Linked DNA regions of Drosophila melanogaster. The protein of the gene in region 1 interacts with the protein of each later gene in a pairwise test. Each region holds a gene or a part of one and is shown in the gene's direction. Other genes may lie near its edges.

Region 1 (7,662 bases):
GGCCAGGCAGCAAAATATTCGCTCGGTTGGCAGAAAGTTTCACCATCACTGGAAGCACCACTTACCAAAAACAAAAGATAAACATGATTTCAATTTGCTGCCACGAAATGTATTTCTCCATCCCAGTTCTGGCTATTGTAACCCCGTCTTTAATGACGGAAGCCACTCAAAGTTCGACATGCAATTAATGGCGTTGGCCCAAACTGTTTTGGTTACCTCAGTTTACCTAGTGGGCACCACCACTGGGCGTCCAGATAAATCTCCCTCTGCATATTTTCACCAGGCGAACGCAGGCACAAGTTAAAAACTTTGCAGCAACAGTGCCATGACAGGCCATTCATTAGCATGCAAATTTGAAAATTTATCAGCTGGTGGTCTACGCTCCTGCACTGAAAATAAGGTATTCTAAGTAAAGACTACCAAGAAATGAATAAAAGTAATGATGTATCAATTTTACCATTAAAGGCTGTCTTAAGCGATCTGCTTAATAAAATTATATTGAAAATCTCCAATTCCTTCATATTTTACCATTCAAATGTTTGATGTTTAGAACAACTTTTTCCCAAGTGCTTGTAAACTTCCTCTCATGGTGCAAATTCTGGCTGTGGTCCTGGTTTGGGTACTGGTCCTGCTCCTGCGAGCGTAACTAACCCATACTCCTTGGAGCGAGGACTGCATCTGGGCTAGTGGAAGCTTCACTAACTGCATCAGCTCACATGACAAAGTTTGTAGCACAAATTATACACAGATCGAAATTGGGGCCAGCTGGAGGAGCCCTTAGTCTGTTGGTGGAGCATCTGCTCTGGGAACTACATATTTATGGCCATGACCTCGCAAATTTGCTCAAGTGCTTTGGTTTGACGGCAGTTGGCTTCCCACATTGTTGTGGTGGTTCAATAAATGCGAATGAATTGTTCACTTTCGGCAGTCATAAATTTTATTAAGGAGACAAACATATACATTTTTCTTTAGAAAAGTCTTTTTAAGTAATGATTCATAAACATTGAGGGATCCAAATAGTTACGCATTTCCTACTCAAAAGTAAGTAGCCCAAAAATAACCACCTGACGCGTTTGAAATTATCTGCAAATTACATGCCATTTTATTTTAATAATGGCGAACTTGGCCGTCTTCCTTGGTCTATTTTTCTTATCGTAAAGTTCAAAGAGTGGGCTGGGAAATTATATGGTAAAATCGATAAAACAAGAGTGTATGTGTCTTGGCAAATATTGACAGAAGTTATTGATTACAAACGTAAACAGAGAGGCGTCTGATATGGCTGCACTGATTTTAAGGCAACTGATAGTGCCAATAAACACTGTTTTGCCCATTTGGTAGGAGTGCTTACTCAGGGTCGGAATGATGACCCTTAGAGAGATAAGATACTTGCTACTGTCTTGGTTTTCGGGCATGGAATCTCTGCTAGTATCTGGGTATTAACTAACCACAAATTTACGTGTGCCCGGGGCGTTGGCTATCTGTATCTGTATGTTGGTATCAAAAGCATGAGGAAGACCCCGAAGATAAGTATCGATGTCTGGGTTTGGTTTCAGTTTTCCCAGAACTTTGCTGCCATCTGCACAACTTTACTAGCGGTGGATTTTATTACAGCACCATGAACCTTCGTATTAAATTAGCAGCGGAATAAAAGTTCTTATGTGAAGTTGTCTTTGAAAAAATTTTAAAATTTACCTATTCTGATAACACATTAATGGTGGACCGCAACAGTGGAGTTCAATACGAAAGAATGCCGACTGTTACTTTCAGGTAAAGTTACCAAATAGAATCAGAATATTCCTATAAAGAACTTCCCTGGTTAATATGATCATGTACTATTAATAAAATGAACTCTAATCGAGATACTTAAACCTGTGAATTTTCGTTATATATTTTGCTAAATAAATATGGCGTAATATTTACACCTAAACTCGACTTGCCATTTCGATTTCAGACGCTTCGTAGATGTGTTAGGTCTTTCATAATATTTTGACCAACTTTTTAACACTTGTCACGTAACTTTCTCTGAAGCTGATTTGTCAACCTACAGGTTTTTACTTTTTATTTACCCAAATAAATTCACCTACAACGTCACATAGTACAATGAAAAAAATTAGGAAGCCTAAAAAGTGAATCATGTGGGTAAACATTAGCGTTTCTGGAGATCGCCAAACTGATCTGATCCAGTAAACAAGCCAAGAGCACTGAGAGTCAGACTGCTAAATGCTAAAGTGGCCGAGATAACCGACGAATTCTGCTATGAGAAGGCAGAGCTTTTTACAACTCTATATATACGATAATTAACAACATTGACGAGCTTGTTGTGATGACGTCATATTGCCGTCGTATAATTACAGATTTCAAAACAAATTCAAAAATCCAGTACTATGTACAACATGCGGGTACATGATTCAGGTCCGACTGATGAAGTGCCAATAGGCTAATAAATTAGAGCAATAATAGGACTGCAATAGATGTATTTACACACACGGATCACACTCATACCTGTACGGTAAAAATAGCAGGCTAATAATAACGCTAATCAGTTAGTCAAATATCGTCTGCCCGATAGCTCCGACAATTGGAGTAACTGCTTCAGAAAGTCTCAGTCTTCCCACTGACACGAGTCTGTAAGGGCGCGGAAAATCGCGTCTTGGAGATCGGTGATCGCGATCCGTTTGATTTCATAAATTAAATTGCGACTCGGCCCGGAAATGTCGCTAATTAACTTGAAATCCAAAGACATGTACGATGAACCCATTAATCTGTGGAGGACCAAACAGCGCGTCCATTACCACCACGATGTGATATCGAAGGGAAATGAGTTAGTTTCGCATTCAAATTCTCAACTGGGGTGGCACATATACACAGCGAGTTTTGGCTATAGAAGATCTCAAGATAAAGCTATTTGTACCAGACTAGCAGACAGTAGACTTTTCCATTCTAAATATTTTGGAGTACTATATCTTATCACAGTGGTTCGTCAAACCCCTATAGATGTCGTTCTATGACATTAGCTCTTTTTCGTGTGAAAGCCCTGGCTCAAATTCCAGACACTGATTGCAGGCAACAAAAGGAAAACGTGATCACTTAATGTTTATGTAAACACCAAGAACTTATCTACCCCTTGATTGATGGGACAACATACCCCCTTTTATCTGTCCACTTATATACAAATTAGAGGTATTTCCGAAAGAACACGCGTGGTTTCTTAGCCAGCTGAGTGATAATATCTCAATGGACGTGCAGAAATCGATCAAAAACCAATCAAAGCTGCGAAATACATGAAAATGTGTGCGATTCCCTCAGGGTCAGGTTGAATCCACATATTGATAATACCAGGCACAAGAATCCAAAGTCGGAATAGAAAATTCAGTTCATCGGAAAGCATTGAACCTGTCGGGTTGCGTGTATATGTGCCACTGGTCGGAAAATTAGATATCCCATATCCTTATTTCGCTCCTCAAACAGCAGCCACAGATCCTCCGATGCCTGCGAATACATAACCATAAGTGCGCCAAAGAAGTCGGGTTCGTTCTCGAGATCCCCGCCAAGCTCGCTGCCCACCTCGGTACCTGGTACACCTCGTCACTCTGTGGCCGCCACCTCGAATCAAGTGATCCGTTACGCCCGAACGTCCTGTGATCACTGCGGACACCACAGCATTCCGGTCATGTCGCCGCATCCCATCTCCCCGCTGGCCAAGTCCCAGACCAACCTGGATCTCGTGGAGCACGGCAGCCAGCGGCAGGCCCTCCTCCCGCTTCCCACCGTCGGGATGCACCACGAAGACTCCGCCTGCACCTTGCAGGTGTCACGCAGGCCATCGCTGCTCCTCCAAGAGATCCTCACCCAGCGACCGCCGCTCTTTGGGCGCAGGGACGGCAACGGTTTCCTGTCGCCGAGGACTGCCAAAAATGGGTACATTTATGGTTCCCTAACATAACAAAGTCATCGAACAGCATTCAAATCGCATTAGAAACTAACCAATATTATATGTTTTTATTCTTATACTTCCCAAATTGGCTTATTAACACATTACGTATTTCTAGACCTTCTATTTCTTATAGTACATATAACCTCTTGTGTTTTTCAGTAACCTGCAGGGAACAGCGAGCGGCAGCACAGCGACCATAAATTTCCAGAGTGGAGCCACCAGTGCCAGGAATGGATCCACGGCCTTTTTCGACAATGGGGCCAAGAGCTTTCAGGCCAAGCAACAAAAGGATAAGAACCGACGCACTGGCAAGTAAGTTGTGGAAACTAAAACTTTATGATCTGGTAACTAATCTCGTAAATGTATCTCTTGTATCTCAGCGATGCCATAAGTTCAGCACTGTCGGCAACCTATTGCAAACTGTTGGTACTGCTAGGCGTTTGTCTGCCGATCACGGAAGTTATATCCGATCAGATACCGACCTATGTGTACCAGGGATTCTACGTATACCTCTATGTGGGCAGCATACTCTTTGTGATCTTTCTGTACATTAGTGCCTTCCGTAATCGATCGCTCTTCAATGCCTTAAAGGACTATCGTAAGCTATAGGGGATTTCTTGTTATAATTTGGTCAATACAAATACGATTGTTCTACATTTGCAGACGAAAAGAACAGCAATGTGCATCTGAAGCACAAGGTAACCCATTTTGGCAGCTTTTACTTGAGAGTGGGAGCCATCGCCTTCGCCATTGGAACTATGGTGTATTCGGGCCTGGAGTTTGGCCAGTTCTTCGAGCTGAATGGCCATCCCGGATGCCGGGATGTCTTCGTGGCCATTACACCCATCTGCCGGATGGTCCTGTGCATCGCCCAGGTGCAGTTCATCTTCTTGAACACCACCTACATGGACATGGCCCGGCACAAGGTGACCTCCCGCTTCGGACTCATGCACATGGTGGCCACCAACTTGTGTGAGTGGCTGTACGTCCTGGTGGAGGAGACCAAGCACGAAATTTTCCACATCAGCCAGCACGAAGTGGATCCCGCCCACGACCTGGTCATTCATAATAGCTCCATGAGTAGAACGGACTGGGCCGCTGTCAATGAGTCCCTGCATCAGCATCATCATCATCATGCCCTTAATAACACCCTGGTGGCCAATGTGAGTTCTGTGATTGTGAATATGACCATTACTCCGTCGCCCACGCCGGCTGCCTTCAGCGGCTGCTCCCGCACCACGATTATGGGTGCTCTGGTGCAGCAACTTTCGCCATTCCTGTTCCCCTGCACCATCGAGTACTCCCTCATATGCGCCGTAATCCTCTTCGAGATGTGGAAGACGGTCAAATCGATTCCGGACATCGACAAGACGCGCAAGAATTCCGTCAAGCCCGCTGCTGCCAAGCCTGCCCATCACTTCTCCGTGGACTGTTCCCAGTCGCACAAGGGACTCTTCTTCGGGATCCTGATCATAGTCATGACCATTATCTCGATGATCATGTACTTTGTGCTGTACACCCAGCCGGGCTATGAACTGGTGGCCACACAGGAGGTCACTCTGTGGGAGACCTTCATGTACTTTATGTGCGCAGCGGCTGTGATAACGGGTGAGTGAATATACAAGTTGTTGTGTGGACCCACCTACATCGATATTTATCTTTTTTTAGGCATGATCCTCATGCGCGATCTGCGCTACATTAAGAACACCAGCGACGAGCACCACTCGATGGATCTGGACAATCTCCTGCTGATTGTGGCCCAGACCGGGGTGTACCTGTACGGAATGTTCAGCATCCTGGGCAGTTACTTCGCCAAATGGGACACAGTGCCCGACCGGGTGGAGGGCATTATAGCGGAGGTCTTTGGAGTGGTGCAGACCTCGCTGCAGACCATGTTCATCCTGCATTCCAGCCATCGGCGCTGCAGGGGCACCAATCAGGTGAGAAGGAAGCCCGGCAGGGAGATCATCACGTTCTTGCTGGTGGCCAACATTGCCATCTGGTTCGTAAACACCCTGATCAAGGGACGAGCCGTCTTCAGGGAGAGCCATTTGGAGTTCTTTGGAGTCTGGGGCTGGACGATCATCACCCACATCTCCATGCCGCTGGCCATTTTCTACCGCTTCCATTCGACCATTTGCCTCTTCGAGGTGTGGAAAATCACGTACAAGGCCAAGGCGCATTAGTGGCCTAATCGAAACTGTTGATTAGTTTTTACAGCTTACATTTGAATAAGTTAGTTTAAAACTTAGTCGACTAATTGTGAACATTAGTTAATTTATGCATATGTGCGAAATTTGTTGACAATGCTAGCACAAAATAAAGATTTAATTTATTCAGCAAGATGGTTTGTTAAAAGTTTTAATTTATATCTATTTATTTGAAGACTTTAACGCATATATAATCACGCTAATATTACGTGATATTGTTTACTTTCTAGTTATCAACTAAGGTGTCAACAGATTAAATGTTGCGATTGCCCAATTTCAGTTGACACTTCAAATTGCCAACACATTTTAATCAACTGAAAGTGAAATTATAGTTATAGCTCATTAAATTTGTAGCCAGATAAGAAAATAAATCGCTGTTCCGATTATTCAATTGATTCCCTAACGAATTACCTTTATCCATGAACACCTCGGAAGAAATCGTGTGCACCAAAAGCGAAATCAGGTATTCGTGTTTCAAGTTTATCGTAGCGAATATAAATCTTGGCCCACACAATTGACAAATCGGCATTTCCTTTTCCTGTTGCGTGTGCACCGCCAGGAAAAATGTCAAAAAAGGTAGACTATTGAAAGGATGTGAATGGGGGCGGGGCGGTGAAATGGGACAATGTCATGGGCATACATTTGATACGCCCAGAATACTGGAACTGACATTGATGTGTGCGGGTTATTTTAGGCAAAGGACCTTCGAGCGGAAACATTAAGGTAAATAAAAAGGTATCGAACCATGAAGCTGATGAATTGGCGCATTTAAATTATGTATTTATGTGGAAATCGGAAAAATTGCTATTCAGGTGGCTTACACAGCGATAATAAACGGGCAATTCGGGGTTAACAAATCGAGTGATATATGCCTTTATCACGTCCTTCCGCTGAACACGTGATTGGAATATCAACAGAAAGTCCAAAGCCAAACAATCAATTTATTTAGTAGACTTTAAGCTACCGATACTCTGACCCGCCATTATACTTCATAATTAACAATAAAATGAGAAGAAACAGAAGGCAAATTTGTGTTTTTAATAAAATTCCGGTCACGTGCTGAGAAACTTAATGGCAACTCAAACACAGGACGAAACTCACATGTTTCACACGTGACTTACGCGTATTAAAGATGCAATTATCGAGTAAATAAGAGAATCGATGAGAAGCCAGCAACTGAAAAATAAATAAATTTTAATAATTCTCCATTTCAATGGCGTGGTACTTTAAAGATGTTTATTTTAAGATTTCACTAAACAATGGTCGGATATGTGTATTTGCATCAATTTTAAATCCAGAAGTCGTTTAAATACCCCTTAATTAGAACCCATTCGTAACTTTCAGCAGACACGTGATAATCACAGGCAAAAGAGTATAAAACGAGCAAAAGGTGAACTGAGGAAACTAATTAGAGTACTGTGAAGCGAATTGAAACGGCACAACATTCTGCATTATAATTTAATCTAGAGTGTAAATAACTCCACAGGCTACCGACTCTAGATCAAGTTCAAGACGAAA
Region 2 (7,297 bases), on another chromosome or scaffold:
GAATGGGGATGGTATGGTATATGGTATAACGTTTTTGGCTCAATAGATATGTGGCCATGGGGTCCGGGGCCATTTGATGATTTTTGCGTCACCGTTGGTCAAAATCATTTCGAGCGCAAGCAACTGGAAACTGTATAAAAATAATGAAAAAGGAGGGCAGGGGAACGCAGCGTGGCAACGAAAGCAACTTGAAATAAATGGTCAAAAGAAATAAACAGTCCCATAAAGAATAATCATTCAGAATTCTGCTGAATTATGCATGAGGCAGACGGTCCGTGGTTCATGGTCCACAATCCATGGTCCATCGTCCAGGAGCTGCAAACTGGACGCCACTCCACGAGGCGAAGGAGCAGCAGTCCAAGGAGCAGCAGGGGGTGTGGCACTCACATATGCGAAAAGTCCCTCCTGGAAACGCGAACCCAACCCAACCCAAGCCAACCCAACCCACTTGCTGAAGCATCATTTTCCTCTTTATTATCTGTTTGCTTAGCTGTGAGTGTGTGCTGGATTTTTATCAGACTTCTAAGCAGTTAGCTGCCTACACAGTAAGAATTAAAAGCCTAAAACATAAGTTAGAAATTAAAAACAAAATTTTAAACTTAAAATAGGGCTGTAATACTACTAATAAGAAAATATACAAATACACAAACTCTTCTCTGAAATTATAAGCCTTATTTTTATAAATTTCTTTATTTATTATTAATTATTATTATTTTTTTTTTTGTTTTATTTATAGGGAAATAACTATTGACTATTTCTTAAGCAACCATTTCTGTCAGTGCATTAGCCGGCTTCCACTTCTATTTTTCCGGTAAGGTGGAGCTTTGGAGGAGGTTTCCCGCGGAGCAATTCGGCCTGCTCGGTGGCGCTTGGCCAAAAGTCAACCAACATTCGCATAATTTTCGATAAAGCTTTTCGCCAAATGAAATTCAAGTGGTTACACATGTCTCACTGCCACCCAACCCAAACCCAAACCCATCGCAGCGATTTTCGCTTGGTCATTTTTCTTGGACACCCCTCCCCAAACAGCATATAGTATTTCGGTTCTTCCAAAAAGTCAGGCTCATTTCCACATTATATGCCGCATCTGATTATCTGCGCTTTGCTGTTTGTTTGCTTAGTTTTTGTTTATTTCGTTTGTTTGCTTGATTGTTTGTTGTTTTGGCCGAAAAATGCTGATAATAAAAGGTAATGATGGGGGGCTACCTATATATGGGTTATCTCTTTGTTAAAGGGCGACTATGAATCGACGGATTTGGAAATGGAAACTTTAAGTTTTGATAGAGCAATTGTCATGGGGATGCTAATGGAGATTGCGAAGGGATTACGCGTATTTTGATTAGGAAAGTGGCAATAATTGTTGGTTGGAAGAATGGCATACTCTTTTATTTACTATTTGCCAATTTGGAGTATAATGATTATAGTAAATAGACAAATTATTCAAACACAAAGCGATAGTACTTTCATTCAAAGTAGCTTATCCAGATATTGGAATAGTTATTTCAAATAAATTTTTGAATTTTTAATTCAACACAACTCTATTATATTTTTTGTTTATTTAAACAACTTATTCTAGCGATTAAAAATGTCCCGTTCTCGCCGACCTTATACAACACGTTCATAAATACGGCGGTGTTTTGTCTGGACCCCTCAGTTCTGCTTAGCACCTATTCGAAGTGAATCGGTTTTGTTGGGGAGGGCGAGAGACCCACTTTAACAGGTAGACAACACGACTTAACCACAGCAGGCTTATGCCTGCGGTCGCTTCGATTGCATCAGATGAGGTGCGAATCCCAATCGGAAGCTAAATTAGTGCTAAAAAAAAAATAATAATTAAATTGAAAATCAGTTGATCAGCGATCACATGGCTTTGGGTTTTCTAGCCTATAAACAAGTGGCCTGCATGTAATATATATCAACTGGTGGCTATAATTAGCACAAGTGATTAGTTGGCGACTGAAGTTGAATTTGTTTATTGTTTACGATCCCTCATTTAATCGTGCGATCGAGAGCGGATCGATCAACCCTCGCCGATTGTGCTCTACTGGGGGGCTTGGAATTTAGCGTACATTCGCGATAGCACAGCCCATTTAAGCTGCAAAAGGAAAACATAATTTAATCTGTTATTGTTTACGCCGAAATGGAAAACACTTCTAAAATGCGTCATTGAACGCATTTTCCCGATAAGCAACAAAGTGTCAACATGAAAGTTGGATGGATTATGTAAAAGCTTAGGCAAGACAAGAAGATTTTTCGCTGACTCTGTCTCCAAGGGGGGCCCTTAAATATAAATTATTAAACTTTGAACTTGAAATGCATGTGCTAGCGCATCGAGCTGATAAGGAAATCGATGTCGGACTCGTTTAAAAAGGCGCATATGATTTGCTGATTTGAGATCAATGCCAAAGTGAGATGCGTGATTTTGAAGACTAGACAGACATAATGCGGTCATTGAATCGGAATGATGTTGATCAAAGCCAAAACGTGAGAAAGGAATCACAGTGTTTATTTTTGGTATAACTGGCATAAATCGGCGGCGGTATCAAATTTTGTGCCCGACATGCGTTTCTCGATGCGGTTGTGGAACCACCGGAATCTTCCCGATCCCGCTCCGCCCGCCGAGATTGCATTCCCAGCTCAACTGATAACCACGACGAGTATATCAGCTACCAGCCATATATGTACGATGATCGGAGGTTTAATTAGGCGCGGCTGTAACATGAACATTCATAATTCCGCTGGCATTCAATCAATGCAGACGTGAACAATTCCAGTAGTGACCGAGTGTTCGACTTAGCCAGCGATCTCGTGCAAAGTGTACAGTGTCTCAATCGTAGTCAATACCAATTCTCAACCAAGAAAATCGATACTCAAAACATACGTAGAAATAGAAGTTACTAAAATCCAAGCATATGATGGCGCAAAGTGATTCTGGAAATTGCTGTGCCAAGCTTAATAAAGGTAAGAATTCATAAATATTTAATAGTGATTGTGCACAGTTAAATCTGCAATCTGCAACAGATGAGTGCTGCCAGAAGACAAAGGATGTGATCTTGAGCGGCGTATCTCCCAAAATGTTTCCCGACAAAATCTACAAGTCTGTTCAACCCAAAGGAGAGGATGCCACCGGAATGACCTGCGAATGCGGTGTTTTTGCAGCCATCGCTTGCGGGGATTACCCAACACAAGTAAGAACAAAATATTTTTTTTTTTAATGTAATATGTAATATAGGACAGATAGGACATATAGTATAGAAAAACACAAAGGTAAAAATTTGGGTTTAAGAAAAAATGTTTAAAGCAAAATTAAACTTAAATATAATACTTGGAAAATTCCGGAAAAATATGTGTAGCAGATTACAATCAATTGTTAATATATAATAAATATTACTAGGACATAGTAGATAGCCACCATGAAATGCCGATCATAACTATATCAATATCTCGAAGTCATTGGGGCTGTCACAAGCCCATCATCACCCGTTTAGCAAGATCCTATGGACGACCATGTAGTACGTCAGACGTATGCCAATCAATGGTTAGTGGGTCAATGGTTAGCCCCGTTCAGATACACCCCCTGCTGATCTTCTAACGATGTCCATCTATCTGTGGCCAATGCCCAGTGGCTGCGGTGACGTCAGTGAGATCGAACTGAATCGCATGGATTTGGTTTGCCGTGCGGTTGTAATCTCTGTTGTTCATGTTTTTATTGCTCGACTGTAATGAAATGGAAAATAACAGAAAGTACTGGTGTATTCACGGTCGGAAATCGGCATACAGTTATCTGTTTTGCTAGTCAACTGATTGGAATTAGCATTACTAAACTATCTTATATGTTGGGCTAGGTATGCAGAAAAAAAAGTATTAAGTTGCTTTGATCTGATGTGATTTGATTCAAGAAAATGCTGAATAACTAAGCTTAAAATAACAATTCTTAATACTGAGTTTGGAAAATGATACGCCATATCGATGCACAGCACCCCCTGGTCTTTATTATTCAATATTCACGTTTATTATTATATTGTAAAAAAAATAAGGAAAATAAAGTACTAAATGGGATTTTTCTGCTTTCAGCTGGACATAGCACAGATGATCTGCCTCGGTCTGGTGGCTCTGCAGCATCGTGGCCAGGAGTCGGCGGGAATAGTGACCAGTTTGGGCAAGTCCTCCAAGAATTTCAGCGTACACAAGGGCATGGGCATGATCAACAATCTGTTCAATGACGAGGCGATCAGGAAGTTAAAGGGTAACCTGGGAATAGGACACACCCGGTATTCCACGGCCGCAGCCTCGGAAGTTGTGAACTGCCAGCCGTTTGTGGTGCACACTGCCCATGGAGCACTGGCCATTGCCCACAATGGTGAGCTAGTGAACTGCGAGTCCCTGAGGAGGGAGGTCCTGGAGCGAGGAGTGGGCCTGTCTACGCACAGTGACAGTGAACTTATTGCCCAATCCCTGTGCTGTGCACCAGAGGATGTGTCGGAGCACGATGGACCCAATTGGCCGGCCAGAATTCGCCATTTCATGACCCTGGCTCCACTCTCCTACTCCCTGGTCGTGATGCACAAGGATAAGATCTACGCTGTCCGCGATTCCTATGGCAATAGACCGCTGTGCTTGGGAAAAATCGTGCCCGTTGATGCAGGACATGCGAATATCAATGACCAACTGGCCGAGGGTTGGGTGGTCAGTAGTGAAAGCTGCGGATTCCTCTCCATCGGAGCCAGATATGTTCGCGAGGTGGAGCCCGGTGAGATCATCGAGCTGTCACGAAATGGTTATAGAACCGTGGATATCGTTGAAAGACCGGACTATAAGCGCATGGCATTCTGCATCTTTGAGTACGTCTACTTTGCCCGCAGTGATTCCATGTTCGAGGGTCAGATGGTTTACTCAGCCCGCCTGCAATGTGGTCGCCAGTTGGCCAGGGAATCGCCATTAGATGCGGATTTGGTCAGCTCGGTTCCGGAATCGGGCACAGCAGCTGCCCATGGTTATGCCAGGGAGTCGGGACTGCCATTCGGGGAAGTTCTCTGCAAGAATCGCTATGTGGGCCGCACGTTCATCCAACCCTCGACGAGATTGCGACAGTTGGGCGTGGCCAAAAAGTTTGGTGCCCTGGCTCAAAATGTCGAGGGCAAGCGGATCGTGCTAGTCGATGACTCCATAGTGAGGGGAAATACCATTGGACCGATTATCAAACTCCTGCGAGATGCCGGCGCCACCGAGGTGCACATTCGCATTGCCAGTCCTCCGCTGCAATATCCCTGCTACATGGGTATCAATATACCCACTCGTGAGGAGCTAATAGCCAACAAATTGAATGCGGATCAGCTGGCGGATCACGTGGGTGCGGATAGTCTGGCCTATTTGAGTGTGGAGGGTCTGGTCAAGGCCGTCCAGATGAACAAGGCCCATGTGAATCCACTCAAAGCTGGCTACTGCACCGCTTGCCTAACGGGCGAGTATCCTGGCGGATTGCCGGAGGAGCTCAGCTGGTAGAATCTCTCAGCAATTATTAATTTCATAGGATTAAGGTAGTTCTTAGCTTCAGCTTGTATATAAATAAATATATTTAAAATTTCGGGTCTTTGACCTATCACAAAAAATGTTGTTTTTAATTAAGCAATATAGAGGTTTTTGTTTCGAGATAAGGAATAATAAGTAGGACATATATTTGAACGCTTCAAACATTCTGGAAAATAACAAACACAAGCAGTTACATATATTATATATAAAATACATATATATATTAAAATATCTTAAAGAAGACATAATTTTAACATTTTTTTGTTACCACCTTTAACTTATTTACTAGTTATAACCATTTAAAATTTTTTTATTTATTTCCTCACTTTATTTGACTTTCTCGCAGGCAAGGAACACATACTCTAAATGCTAATGGGCCACATCAACGTCTGATTATTTTCAAAACTGTCTAATGCCATAACTTCAATTCATTTCAATTTATATTTCCAAGCTCTGTGTGCCGAGGGATTCAGGGGCAGTGGAGGAAGTAGAGTCGCCCGCTTCCGGTTATAGCCGCGCTCAGATATAGCCCCATATCATACAATATGGTAATCGTGTTTGCTTTTTTCGCCCCGTCTCTTTCCGGCTATGTCCTGCCGCCCACCCACATCCTTGTGTTCCGCTCTCTTTCTTGCGGAGTCTCCCCAGTTGGGGCGTTGCAATGTCTAAAGCGGGGCGTTAAGGGCGTTTAATCCTGCGGAAGATGTCCTTGCGGTTATGCAGAGGGGTATCCGTATCCTCTCTCATCGTATACAACTTTTTTCTTTCTTTCTTTCTTTTATGACTCGCGCCGGGTACTGGAGTCAACAATGTCATCATTATTCTTGAATATTGTGTTGTATTTTCGCAAACAATTTCGCTAAGCTGCGCGGCATTGGCAAAGCCGGAATGGGGGTGGGGGTGAAAAATTTGGGGGTGGGAATGGGTCTGGGTGGGAAAGTGGGAGTGGGTTTCCCTACGCTGAAGTGTGGCGAGGACATAAGAGAAGAAAATAATACTGCACTGTCATTGTAACTCGCTTGATTAATTCTTGTGAAGGGTATATACTGCAAGCAGTTCAGGTTTTGGCAAATGAAATGTAACAACATTTATATTTATTTAAAAAACAAAGACAATGAAATGTTATAAAAACATTTAAATTCTTCATGAAAACATAATTTATTTCACACACTAATAAAGTAAATTATTAATTTTTTTTAAGAAGTTAAAAGTTATATAAGATATGAAAAAAATCAAAGTCGCTTTATAATTTCAAAATTTTCCAAAAGCTGTAGAGGAATTTCTGGGTCCTGTCAGCTTCCCTTTTACGGCGGATCCCCATCACCACTCCATCTGAGTTCTCACCAAGTGGCTACATAAAAGAAACGACTCCTGGCAACATTGAAAACAGACGCTGGCACTTCTATCCAACACACCAGCGTCGTTTGCTGCCACAAGGATACGACAGAAGGACCAAGATATCCACGGAAAAAAAATGGCATAGAGAGGCGAGAGCGTTTGCTTATGTGCGCCGTCGATCACAAACACAAACATCCTGTGCCCACTGCCGCAGACAGTGACAACTAAGCAGTGCCATATTGCCAGGAGCCCAGATGAAGAACCCCCATTGGAAAATCCGCCCTGGAAAGGCCCCACCTCTGCGCCGCAAAACATGCTTTAAATTTTTTAATAACGCCAGGCTACAAGAGCGCTGACGCCCACGTCCGGACTTGGGATCCGGATCCGGTTTTCGTGCCCGATGACGACAGCCGGCCCCGCCCACTTCGGC

The links.
Region 2: the proteins of OtopLb (region 1) and Prat2 interact in a two-hybrid assay, tested with the Drosophila melanogaster proteins (one large-scale study listed by BioGRID).

Annotation. Positions count from the first base shown.
Region 1 is NT_033779.5:3,274,413-3,282,074, reverse strand, and holds OtopLb (Otopetrin-like b), read left to right. Parts: upstream 1-2,604; 5' UTR 2,605-2,711; coding exon 2,712-2,821; intron 2,822-3,468; coding exon 3,469-3,918; intron 3,919-4,093; coding exon 4,094-4,246; intron 4,247-4,314; coding exon 4,315-4,532; intron 4,533-4,597; coding exon 4,598-5,542; intron 5,543-5,602; coding exon 5,603-6,120; 3' UTR 6,121-6,275; downstream 6,276-7,662.
Region 2 is NT_037436.4:6,910,305-6,917,601, reverse strand, and holds Prat2 (phosphoribosylamidotransferase 2), read left to right. Parts: upstream 1-2,725; 5' UTR 2,726-2,912; coding exon 2,913-2,961; intron 2,962-3,021; coding exon 3,022-3,188; intron 3,189-3,637; exon of another isoform or gene 3,638-3,845; intron 3,846-4,074; coding exon 4,075-5,502; 3' UTR 5,503-5,603; downstream 5,604-7,297.